2 linked regions of the Caenorhabditis elegans genome follow. The protein of the gene in region 1 purifies or fractionates together with the protein of each later gene. This does not show direct contact. Each region holds a gene or a part of one and is shown in the gene's direction. Other genes may lie near its edges.

The links.
Region 2: the proteins of ubl-5 (region 1) and dve-1 purify together in Caenorhabditis elegans (affinity purification with western blotting, with the first as the bait; one study listed by BioGRID). This does not show direct contact.

What each region holds. Positions count from the first base shown.
Region 1 is NC_003279.8:5,607,323-5,611,111, reverse strand, and holds ubl-5 (Ubiquitin-like protein 5), read left to right. Parts: upstream 1-2,270; 5' UTR 2,271-2,275; coding exon 2,276-2,388; intron 2,389-3,077; coding exon 3,078-3,186; 3' UTR 3,187-3,286; downstream 3,287-3,789. Other genes in the region: trpp-8 (Trafficking protein particle complex subunit 8), read left to right, coding at 454-504; vha-10 (putative V-type proton ATPase subunit G), read left to right, coding at 858-1,004, 1,053-1,187, 1,426-1,524; tns-1 (Tensin homolog), read left to right, coding at 3,595-3,627.
Region 2 is NC_003284.9:427,604-435,818, reverse strand, and holds the start of dve-1 (Homeobox protein dve-1), read left to right. Parts: upstream 1-2,019; 5' UTR 2,020-2,025; coding exon 2,026-2,206; intron 2,207-2,318; exon of another isoform or gene 2,319-2,847; coding exon 2,848-2,974; exon of another isoform or gene 2,975-3,668; coding exon 3,669-3,783; intron 3,784-3,835; coding exon 3,836-3,945; intron 3,946-6,313; coding exon 6,314-6,476; intron 6,477-6,526; coding exon 6,527-6,826; intron 6,827-7,131; coding exon 7,132-7,279; intron 7,280-7,819; coding exon 7,820-7,998; intron 7,999-8,048; coding exon 8,049-8,132; 3' UTR 8,133-8,215.

The sequences.
Region 1 (3,789 bases):
TATTACTCAGACGCGAAATTTTGTTATTTTTGTGACCCCAAAAGTACGGTACCTGGTCTCGACACGACAAAATTTTGTTAACTGCAAAAAGGTGTGCGCCTTTAAAGAGTACTGTAATTTTAAGTTATCTTTGCTTCGGAATTTTTGATATTTTTTAATAAAAATTTTTTAACTGGCGCAAATCGACAAAAACCATGAATTTTAACAGAAAAAAAAACGAAAAACTGCAATTACAGTACTCTTTAAAGGGACACGCATGTAATAAAAATTTGGCATGTCGAGAACGGGCACCTTATTTTTGGCGAAAAGTTTATCGAAAGAGGCTATTGCATAAAAACTTTGCGCGTCAACTATTTTGCCCTGTCCGCAATTCTGAATGAGACGGTGTTTGCACATCTCTGAACAAAGACCACAATCTGACTCTTTTTGCCAACTGATTTTCGCCCTTTGCAGGTTCCGAGTGTGCTATCGGTCGTCAAATCGTCATCATATACAGTTGTCTGAAGTATCTCAAATCATTTACACACATTTTCCACATCTTCCTGTGATATTCTACTCAAGAATCGCTTTTTTCAACGGGTTTAGTCCCTTTCTAAACTTCCCTTTGATATTTGCCTCAAAAATCGCCCATCTTTCATGTAAAATTTATGTGTTATTTTTATTTCAATATTTTAGTTTCAGTTCTATTCGTATTTATTCATTTTTCTTATAATTTTATGCATAAATTCTCAAAATTTATTGATTTTTCTTGTCTTGTGCTGACTCGGTTCTTTTCCAATTATTATATGTACATCTTAAGAATAATCACGAAATCCTGTGAAAATAATTAAATCATTTTCAGTACCGAAAACCTTAAAATGGCCTCACAAACCCAGGGAATTCAGCAACTTTTGGCCGCTGAGAAACGTGCCGCTGAGAAGATCAACGAAGCTCGTAAGAGAAAGTTGCAGAGAACGAAGCAGGCCAAGCAAGAGGCTCAAGCTGAGGTGGAGAAGTACAAGCAGGTAATAAATATTGATTTTAATTTAAATTTTAAAAAACTAATTATTCAGCAACGCGAGGCAGAGTTCAAGGCATTTGAACAACAATACTTGGGAACCAAAGAAGATATTGAGAGCAAGATTCGTCGTGATACTGAGGATCAAATCAGTGGAATGAAGCAATCTGTGGCTGGAAACAAGCAAGCTGTGAGTTTGAACAAATTTCCACACAACTTTGGGAAATCTTTTGCACTTTGCAAAATATTTACTGGAGAACTTTCAAAAAAAATTTCTCGAATTTAAATAAAATGTTCTAAAATAATTTTATTGAATTTCTATATTTGTCACCAAATTAAAATATAGTTATTGTAAAACGGCACATACACATTTTTGGCTCACACTCTCGAAAGTTGCATAATATCTCAATAAAATCCGTTAATTTCAGGTCATTGTCCGTCTCCTTCAACTCGTTTGCGACATCAAGCCAGAGCTCCATCATAACTTGACTCTCCAGAAGAAACTTCACGGACAGTTCGCTGCCTAAACTTTTCGTTTTCTTTAATCTCTGACAATTCTGATCATTCCAACTTTCGCTAAGTCCCGCCCCTTACTTTTATGATGTGATATCCCTCTCCCATCAATTTCTAACCAATTCTGTAGAATTCTCCATTTTCAATTAAAAAATTATAGTCGTCACTTTTTTTTCTGTGACGACGTATTGTATACTATTTACAAAGAAAAAGCTTATACGTCAAAGTATTTCGTCGAATAAAGGTTTTATAGAGCTGATTATAAACTGGAAATTATTCTTTCTCTACGAATTAATCAATAAACGTATTCAGAAGAGGTTTTTCGCAAGTGTGAAACGCTATGTTCAAAAACTGCAGATTTTACCATACTTGCGCTTTTTTATAATTCCGAGATTAATTTTTGGAAAAAATAGCAAAATTTAAGCAGTTTATGTTTAAAAAAGTTCGTTTTTAAATACGCTCAAATAAAAAAAGTAAGTTTTAATTTTAAGTTTCAAAGGGTTGAGTCTCGCCGCGAGAATTGAGTTCTTGAAAAATAATTGGTGCATGCGCCTTTAAGTTTACTGATTACATTGCAAGTCTGCATTTGCGCGTCGAGTTGTGTGTTTTTACGTACATTCGAAATAGTTATATTTATTTATTGCGCAATTGCATTAATGTTTTTCTATACCGAATTTTCATTGCTTTCTTGCAAAATACATGTATTTTCTTAAGAAATTTGTGAATATTTTAAATTATACATAATTGTTTGACCTTTCAGGAAAAATGATTGAAATCACAGTAAACGATCGACTCGGAAAAAAAGTACGAATCAAGTGCAATCCATCAGATACAATTGGAGATTTGAAGAAGTTGATCGCTGCACAAACTGGAACACGGTGAGATTTGAAAATTACCTTTTTGAATTTGATAATCTTTTTGAAATTGACTGATGATCCCACAATCTTTTTTTCTGAATTCTTAAACTTGAAAATCAATTATATTGAAAAAAAAAGAATTTAGCTTTTTTATAGACTTTAGAAGTTAGAAGTTAAAACGTTTGAAAGGAAAAAAAGAACTTAAAAACTAAAAAAAATCAAAAATGGCACAAAAAGTCGTTATTAAAATGATCTCGAGCTAGGAAATCGCGTTTTAAAATACAATTTTTCTGTGTTTTGCCATCTCATGCGGCTATTCGCATATGTTATTTTCGTATGTTTTATATATTAGAAACAAATTGAAAATTTGAAAAACGGCAATTTGCCGATTTGCCCAAAGTTTTCCAAGATATTTTACATGAGAAAAAACATTAATAACATTTTCATAGATTTTACTTGCATGTCAAAATAGTTCTAGGACATTAAAATAGTGCATTTAATTTTGCAGAATTTATAATAAAAATTTAAAAATTTACAACAATTGCAAAACGAAAAATTTCCGACTTTGCAAAAAAAAACTTGCCTCCCAGCCCTGTGTTTTATTAAATAATTGATTTTTTTGTAATTTGATCATAAATTTCGACCGCCATTCTTGGTGATGAAATATACATTTTTTATTGTTTAATAAAAAAAAATCAATTAAATTTCAGATGGGAAAAGATCGTGTTGAAAAAGTGGTACACCATTTACAAGGATCATATCACATTGATGGATTACGAGATTCACGAGGGATTCAATTTCGAGCTCTACTACCAATGATTCATCAGAATTCATTTCATTTTTTAAACAATTATTTACTTTTCAACTTTTCATGAATTTCAATTTAATTTTTTTTGACTTCGAATAAATTTCAACACTTTCTTGATTTAAATGCACTTTTAAAAACATCTTATATTCATTCTTCCACCCCATTAATTTCTGCCGTCTTGTTTGACCACTCCCTCTTTCTTCGCTCCCACCCGAGTAGGCTCCGCCCATTTGTTCGACCCAAAAGATTTTGTCCGATTTTTTCTCTTTTTCTCTCTAATTCTCTTCGCCTATCAATGTGTTTGCGCGAAACAGTTTAGTGTGGATAGAGAAAAATCAGTGGATAGTTAATTTTTGCAGATGTTTTTTTTTTGAATTTTCAAAAATATTACTTCTAAAAGACATTTCAGACCAAGGGCAATGGCTGCTGCAGCTCTGTGCTGTGCTTCAAGGGTACGTTTTTAAATTGAAAAGTTTGAATCCCGAAAGCTTAAAATGAAATATTTATAGAATACAAAAATAAAACAACTTTTGAAAATTAATAAAAAAATATCTCAAAAGTTAAAAAAAAAGTTTCTCTAAATAGAAATATTCAAACATATGGTATCAATAAGC
Region 2 (8,215 bases), on another chromosome or scaffold:
AATAAAACAAATTTGAAGAATCATACTGAAATCAGAATATTTATAATTCCTCTTTCAAAAATACTGAATATCATATAACAAGGGGCAAGCACCCACCATAACCCATCACATTATTCCATTCCCTACCATCTCTTTCTCCATTCGGTCCGGTCCATTGAGTTGGTAAACATATAATGTATATCGTATGATAAGGCCGCTGAATTTCAATTGACTTCCCCCCCCCCCCCCTCCTCTTTAATCTTCTCTTTTGCGTTACCGTACGATACGTAATATATGTAAAACTGAGATTTTTTGCATTGCCCCTTGAAGTCTAGAACTTCTCGACTTTCAAATTTGTAAGAAGGGTCTCATTTACCCTATACTTCTACTTCATGCTTCTTGTATAATCCCATCCGCGGGGTTGGTGTCTTCAAGCAACCGGGATTACTCTTTCCGGCTTATTCGAACCCCCTCTCCTTGCTTCAGTATTGCTCCAGATTGCAATTGTTTCAATTAGCCGCTACGATGACACCTAAACTAAATCCTCTAGGCTTAGGGGCACAAACATTCGTTTGTTAGAACTGATTATGTGGAGATGGAGCAAGATAATACAAGTGTAGAATACAATGATTAATCAATGAGTCTCACAGAGTTTTGCAAAAATTCTGAAAAATTAGATATTTCCAAAACCACGTTTTATACCAATTGTTGATTTTTGACTCATAGTAATTTTAACAATAAACCTTGTTAGATAAATTTCTAGAAACGGATTTGAGTTTTGGTGTGGCGAAGTATCAAAAGTGTACACATTATCTTATCGACAATAATCCCAAACCCACTCGGAGCTCCTAAGTAAATAGTGACTTGCATTCCAACCACTGTCTTATCTATAACTGGCAGACCCCCTCCTCTCCCGAAACGCGCATCCTTAAAATTTCTATAAGTAACTTAACCTTTATCTCTGCTGACACATCGGGACAATTCTAATTCTGATGCGCCCCTTATGCGATGTGTAGCGTCGTTATTTTCGATTTGACGGTGAGGAAAAGAGAAAGGCGGGGTTATAGGGTAGAAGAGTGAAGAGAGAGAGAAAATCTTGAACAAGTGGATTGTCTTTGTTCGATTCTTCTTTTTTCCTCCCTCAACGACGAAGACTAAGACGATGCCATACCACAACGACCCGAGGCTTTTCTCGAACTAGTAGTACATGATCGTTTCTACAGATGGGGGAGGGTTGGCAACCAGCCCCATCTTTCTTTTTTCCACTGTTTTCTACCTCACCTACCTATTTCTCCTCATCTTCCGCATTCTCTGCCTCTTTTAGACTCTTCCATCCGGTTCCTACATTATGCCATCTCGATCCCGACCTCCCCCCCCCTCAACCCCTCCTTACTACTTTCGCTCCATTCGTCGTCTTCAATCTCTTCTTGGCGACGACGTGGTCGCCTTCTTTCAGATTTTCCATATCAAATCTTGTTTTCGTTTTCGTTTCCATCCATTCTCATCTTCAACTTGTCTTCAGTAGCGAGTAAGAAGTAAGAAGAATGAGTACATGTCGCCTGATTCGTTGTTTTTATTTGTGTCTTAAGATTTCTAACCCCCTCTTGGACAGACTGCAAATCTGTTATCCAAACTTGGTGTCTCCCGTTCTTTTTTCATTAATCGCCTTAACAAATCCCACTATCTCCCTTTCTTCCATTTTTGTTGCTCTCCGCTCTATTCCATCGCAATTACGGTTGAATAGGTGCGCGCTTTCTTTTCCACCTTATTTGCTCCAACTAGCCACAACTACCATATCTCTTTTGCTCTTGCTCTCTCTCTCTCTCTTACTCGCTCTTTTTCTATCTATCTTCCCCGCATCATAGAAAGCCCCGCCTCCTCCATATCTATGAAAAGTGGGCGGGAAGTCCGCACACCAATCGGAGCGCAGAGCTAAATCTATCCAACTATCTTCTGGCTCTTCTTTCGATTCTTCTGCTATTAGTTTATCTCGATTTCTCATTTTTATTTTAAAAATTTCAAATATAAAGTTTCATTCAGCTAGATATGTTCCCAATGAGGGTAATCGTGGAAACAGTTCGCTCTCAACATTGCTTGACATGCTCAAACGAAGGACACATGATCACAGACACTTATGCAATTGTCGCAGGGACCACTACATTAAATCAACTCGTCGAAACTGTACTAGCAGCTCTTGGACATTCGAGCATGTCGACAAGTGCTCGAGGTTAGTTGAGAAAACATTTTGAAAATTGCCATAGACCTCGTGACTAGCTAAACTATTTTGGTATTAGTAGTACACATTCCTTATCTTCTTTTCTTTCATTTTTGTTCCTTTTTTTCATTCGCCAAAAACGGATAACAGATCTATCTTGTGATTGACAGATTTACCCTACTCTAGGCGAGTAAGTAATTGAGTATTGAGTGGGATCTCCTTTTCTTGACAACTACTTTCAGTTTCAATTCAATCTCATTGAAGCATAACGTGGTTGCGCAACTTCGCTATGCTGTAAGAAGATATACATCTTCCTCCTACCCCGAGATCACCCACTTTTTTTTGGCTAAGACGACCCTACCCACTCATGTGTTTTGTTCTGCGCCTCTTGCCAGATCAACGGTATTTCTGCGATTTCAGCGCCCTCCTCCCATTTTCTCACTTTCACGTTTTCTTCCACCTTAGTAGAAAGTGAAACAGACTGTCGAACCTGTTCTTTTCTCGGCGGCTTTGCCTCCTTGGTATCTACTTTCCCAAAGATTATGCAATCATGTGAAAGGGAAATCGGAAAGAAAACGAAGGGAATTGCATAGGGTTTTTTAAAAAAATATTTTGCATTTGTTGTCCGAAAATCGATAATTCAGAAATTTCAGGCCTCATACAAGTAAACAACTGGAAACCCTTGCCATTCGATCAAATTACTGAAAATTTAGATGACACTGTGGAAAACCTCTTCAAAGATATATCATCACATGTAGTGCTAAAAATATTGTCAAAACCGTAAGTGTTTCCTGAAGTATTCTTGTTTCACTCCGCACTATAACCTCATCTATCCCATCCAATCCCGCTCCAACCAGACGACTGTCGATCGGGAGGTTTGTGTGCTCCGGGGGGCTCATTCTGTAAAGGTGAGCAAAATCGCGCCTCACAACCCCTATACATCCTCTTTAGAACTACTCAAAGAAAATGGCAAACATAGGTATGTACAATGCGCGCCTCGCACACACACACATATATATAAACACATTCAGACATGTGTACAGGAGAGAAAAAGTGATGGAAGGAAAAAAGGGGGAAAACTCATTGAAATTGGCGGTGGCTGAAAAAAGATACATTTTGGGGCGCATTTCTAGTCATCAAAAGTCAAAGGAGCGGGAGGGTCCGGGGACCAACAAAATTATTTACCTAGATCCCCGTATGACTTATCCTATCTGTTTGCGGATTATTGTCGCTTCCTTCATTTCTTTATATCGTTCATATTCTATTGATATTTGGCATTTAGTTTGCTATCAAACATGGCACTCACAAATACCGCAAAAGCTTTAGCGCTTTGTCCTGCGACGCAATTTTTATGAGACCAATGAAAGCACAAACCATTCACGGACCGAATTCGATTTTTATAGCCCTATCCCTGGGCACACATATGCCTATACACACACACAATTTTATGACCATCATCATGATTTTCTTTCAGATCTACGGATTCAAATTCTGTGCAATGTATAAGTGAGGTGAAGAATAAACTCCTGAAAGCTGCAGTAAACAAAAATCCCAATGTTTTAACAAATGTGGATAATCAGCAGGTTAAGGTGGGTAGCTGCTATTTTCTCAATAATTCAATTTCAATTCTGATAATTGCAGGATGTCATCAACACAATCATTGCCGGAGATGAAACACTCTTGAATTCCGAACAAATTGGTGCAGTCAACGAATGGCTTGATACGCTGGAAACGAACGAGGATCGTAGAAGGTAAGATAGCGCCGCCCATGCAATGAGTTGCGAGCCAGTCAGCCAACCAGCCACCGTAATCCCGCTGTGCGTGTTGGATGTGAATAGAGGGGGGGGGGGGGCAGAGTTTGAGAGAAAAGACAGAGAGCAGTGACACGGGGGGTAGCGCCAAGTTAAGCCGCTATTCGGTGCTCGAGTTAAGCCCCCTCTCGGCTTGTTTGTAGAAATAGACTTTATGGATTGGTTAGGAATTTTGAGCTGCAGGCAGGATTGTGTATACATTGTGGTTGAAGGAAAAGTTATGAGAGAGCACCCATTTTGTTTATAAATTTTTGGGGAAATTTAGGAGATGGAATTTTGCTGTCTCTAGATATCAGGTAAAACCGATTCCTATCGGATATCATATAAACAATATACTTTTCCACGTCTGTGCATTCTTATTCACATCTGAAAAGAGAGGACTTAACTTAAATAGTTAGTTTCGTTTAATTTCCACCGCAAGGATTCATTGGAGCTCCCCCCCCCCCCCCGTCAGAATTTCAATTTCCTGAGGTTGTCTTCATCAAAAACCCGCCTTTTGTTTTCAAGTGTCGTAACAATCAGAATGGATAGGCGTCGGGGATTAACAAGCCGGCAGATTGTATCATTTGCTCTTTCTTTGGTGCCCATCATCACCATTCATCTTATTAGTGACAGCCCCCACACACAATGTGCGAAAACGATGATTGTTTGGGATTGGAAAAGAGTAGGGGATGGGTTCAATGGGAAGGGGAAGGCAAAGTGATGAAGATATACGTGAATGAAGTTAGAAACACTAGTTTATACCGAAGTATCTAAGAATTGCTTTGAAGACAAGTTTAATCTATAAAAAATTGTTTGAAACTGTAAAATCGTTATATAAAATTGATTTTTTTTACTTTATTACCCATTTGCGTAGCAGAAAACGTTTTTTTTTTTTTTTTTTTTTTTTTTTTTTTTTCTAAGCCTAAAAATAAAAAACTACACACGGTTTTATTTTAAAATGTTAAAATTTATTTTTTCAAAATGAGGTGAAATAATCCACAAGTACCAAAAATTTTCCTTGTTCTTAGTGCTAAAATAATAAAACACCGTACGCCTTCTATTATTTGCCAACTTAAAATGGTTGAGTTCAAAAATTTTTGAAAATCTAAAATTTTTAGGAGACGATTCACCAAATATGTGGCTTGTCAGAATTTAACAATTACCAAAACTCAAGTTTTATTTCGTAACTCAACTATAAATTCCACTAAGCCGGTTGACAGTACGGTTGATGCCCGGATAAGAGAGCAGTATTAGACTGAGATGAAGATAGCTAATTTCAAAAAAAAAACGAGACAAAAGACAAAACGATCAAATTCGGTCGTTCTCTAAGTGCCCTCCATCATGCCATTGTGTCTTTCTCAATTTCTCAAGAGAAGGAGGCTAAGAGATCAGGACTGGTTTTGGCCCCTTGTTGACCCGTGAAAACATCTCTGAAACTGCCACTGCCTGCTGATCTACATTCCCGAGACAACAAAGGGAAGAAGTCAAATTATAAGTGATGGAGACAGTTGTTTTCCACATATTCCTTTATTGAAACTCCTTCTTCCAACGAGAAGAAAAAAGGAAAAAGAAAAAGCTGAAATCAAGTTTTCCAGTCATCGAAGCACATCCAAATTTTCGAATTTCCAACTGTACAAATAATTGAGTTGTGTTGTGAGTAATCTTATTGTGACATACAGACACAAGAGAGGATACAAAACATGTACATATTGCTCTGAGGGAATGGGAACAGCAGAATAAAGGGCAAAATGGGAAAGGACGGCGGTGACGCATTCTGTAAAGAGTAATAAAGAATAGAAAAAGGGAGATTGAATGCGTTGTGTGCATACAGTGATATATCCAAACTGTTACCCGGGGGGGGGGGGGGGGCGCAAAAACAAGAAGAAGGGGACCCAGTATAACTATCAGAATGGAGTCGTGATTGGAGAAAAAGTGTCAGTAAAAAATGATTAAAAACTATCCTTACAAAAAACTTGTATACGAGTAATTACACCGTATTTCCTCTATTTGTATTGTACCACATTGTTCAACTTTAACTGTTTATATCTCAGTTATCGTTTGTGCTATTCGAAGTTGTTAACTAACAAAATATTTTTTCAGTTATTTTTCTATAGATTCGTAGTTAAAAATATATGTATATCTTTAAAGTGTATTTATACTCTTTAAAATGAATTAAGATATAACGTTTCAAAGTTAGGTAGTCGGGTGCAATACAAATAGAAGAAATACGCTACATGATTTTCTTTTCATTCCACTCTCAAGAAAGATAAACGCCTGCTTTCATATTACTTTCAGTACACATAATAATGTATGTATTTAATTTCAGCCCAACACAAGTACAAAGATTCAACACTCTTTACGAAATTCCACGTCTTGATAAATGGTTCAAATCCGATGCAAATCCATCTAAACAAAAAATGAACAATTACTTAAGCCAGCTCAATCAGAGTCCGTTCAGAAAGAACAATTCCAAGATCAGCTATCAACAGGTGAATTTAATGCGCCTACATATTACTCCATTAATCAAATGAATTTCCAGATTTGCAATTGGTTCACACAAAAACGCTCGAGTTCCCGTACCTTAGCTCCAGTAGACCTAGTGCAGGTCTCGTCAGCTCAGACAGCGGCGCAGCTGCTCCCGGGATTCCAACTCAACTTGCTCCAGTCCCTGTTTGGAGAACAACGTCAAAAATTTGATTTTTACGACAAACTGGATGAAACCAAGATTGTCGGCGGCTCCGACTCGCCATCTCCAGCCGATGATGAGATTCATAGCAATTCAGATGAAACTATTCAAGATACTTTGTTTTCCATCAATATTAAACCAGAACCGGAAATTGTAAGTTACGTTTGACTGTTTGTGCCATAGTTAGGTTGATTAGCGTTGCTCGTGCTGAAAAGCTTTGAAAAATCACGCTAAAAACGGATTTTCGGCTATTTCGATTCTGATTCACATTAAAGATAACATCTCCCAAATTGCTAAATATTACCGATAAGGTTATAAAGACCTAACACTACGGCCGAAAATCTGAATTTATTCCAAACTGTCAGCGTCGGCTGAGCGCCAATTAAAAATATTTTTCGACACAATTATGGTCCACCTTTAAAAATTATTCATCCCAAAACAAGCAACATTTCCTACAGGATTCAATTGCATCCTCCCCGGATATGGCAAACTCAATGCGCGAATCATTGTCCTCGACCTCCCCAAAGCTTCTCAGCGGGCTCGACCTCGGAGCATTCAGCACCCACTCATCATCCACCAACTCCATGCAAAACGCCAACTCATCAGGTACAACAAAGAGCTTTAAAACAGACAGGCTAACGGAAAAGAGAGGGAGATGGGTTGAACCAAGAACTCATAAATTAGAAGCGAGCACACACACACAAACACACATAGACATACACAAAGTGCGCGAAGACACATAACAAAGGGAGAAATGTGGGGCGTCGAATTTCGCACAGACAACCATTACGATCACTGAGATCTGAGGAAAAAAAAATGAGGCTAGGTATTGTGTTTACAGAAATAAAACAGAAAATCAACTGCAAACTTGATTTTGAGAAATATTCTAGGGATTTTGTACTGGCTCAAACTTATCGAGAAGGTGGCCATGTTCATGATACTCAGTCTGAAAACCTATATTGGTTGCTATCTCTAAAACGCTCTTAGATTGCGTTTGCTATGCATATGAAAAATGACTGCATAAAAATTCTCTATCTTTTCGACAAGAAAACTTTAAGGTGGAATTTTACTTCTATTTTTCGATAAAATCACTGACGCGGAACGTTTGAAAAAATTCAACGATAAAGCAAATAATCTCCGTTTTAGTGTTTTCAGCGGCTCGCTCACGCCTGATGTTCGACCCACTCACCGAGCTACCCGTCCTCGAAAAATGGTTCGAAGAGAATCCTCACCCGACATGGATGCAAATCGATCAGTACACACAATGCTTGAACAACTGCGCTTATCGAGAGAATTATCCGCATATTAGTCAGCACAATGTGAAGGTAATATTCTATATTAATACTGATTACTAGTTATCGAATTCGAATTGCAGATCTGGTTCAAAAATCGACGTGCAAAATGCAAGCGATTGTTGAATGGAATGCAGGAAAAGCTTGAGCAGAAGGTTTTCGTATAAAATTAAAATTTCCAACTTTTTTCAAAATCTTATTATCTTTAATTTCGAAAGAACATTAAGTTTTTCACATCAATAGTTCCTTC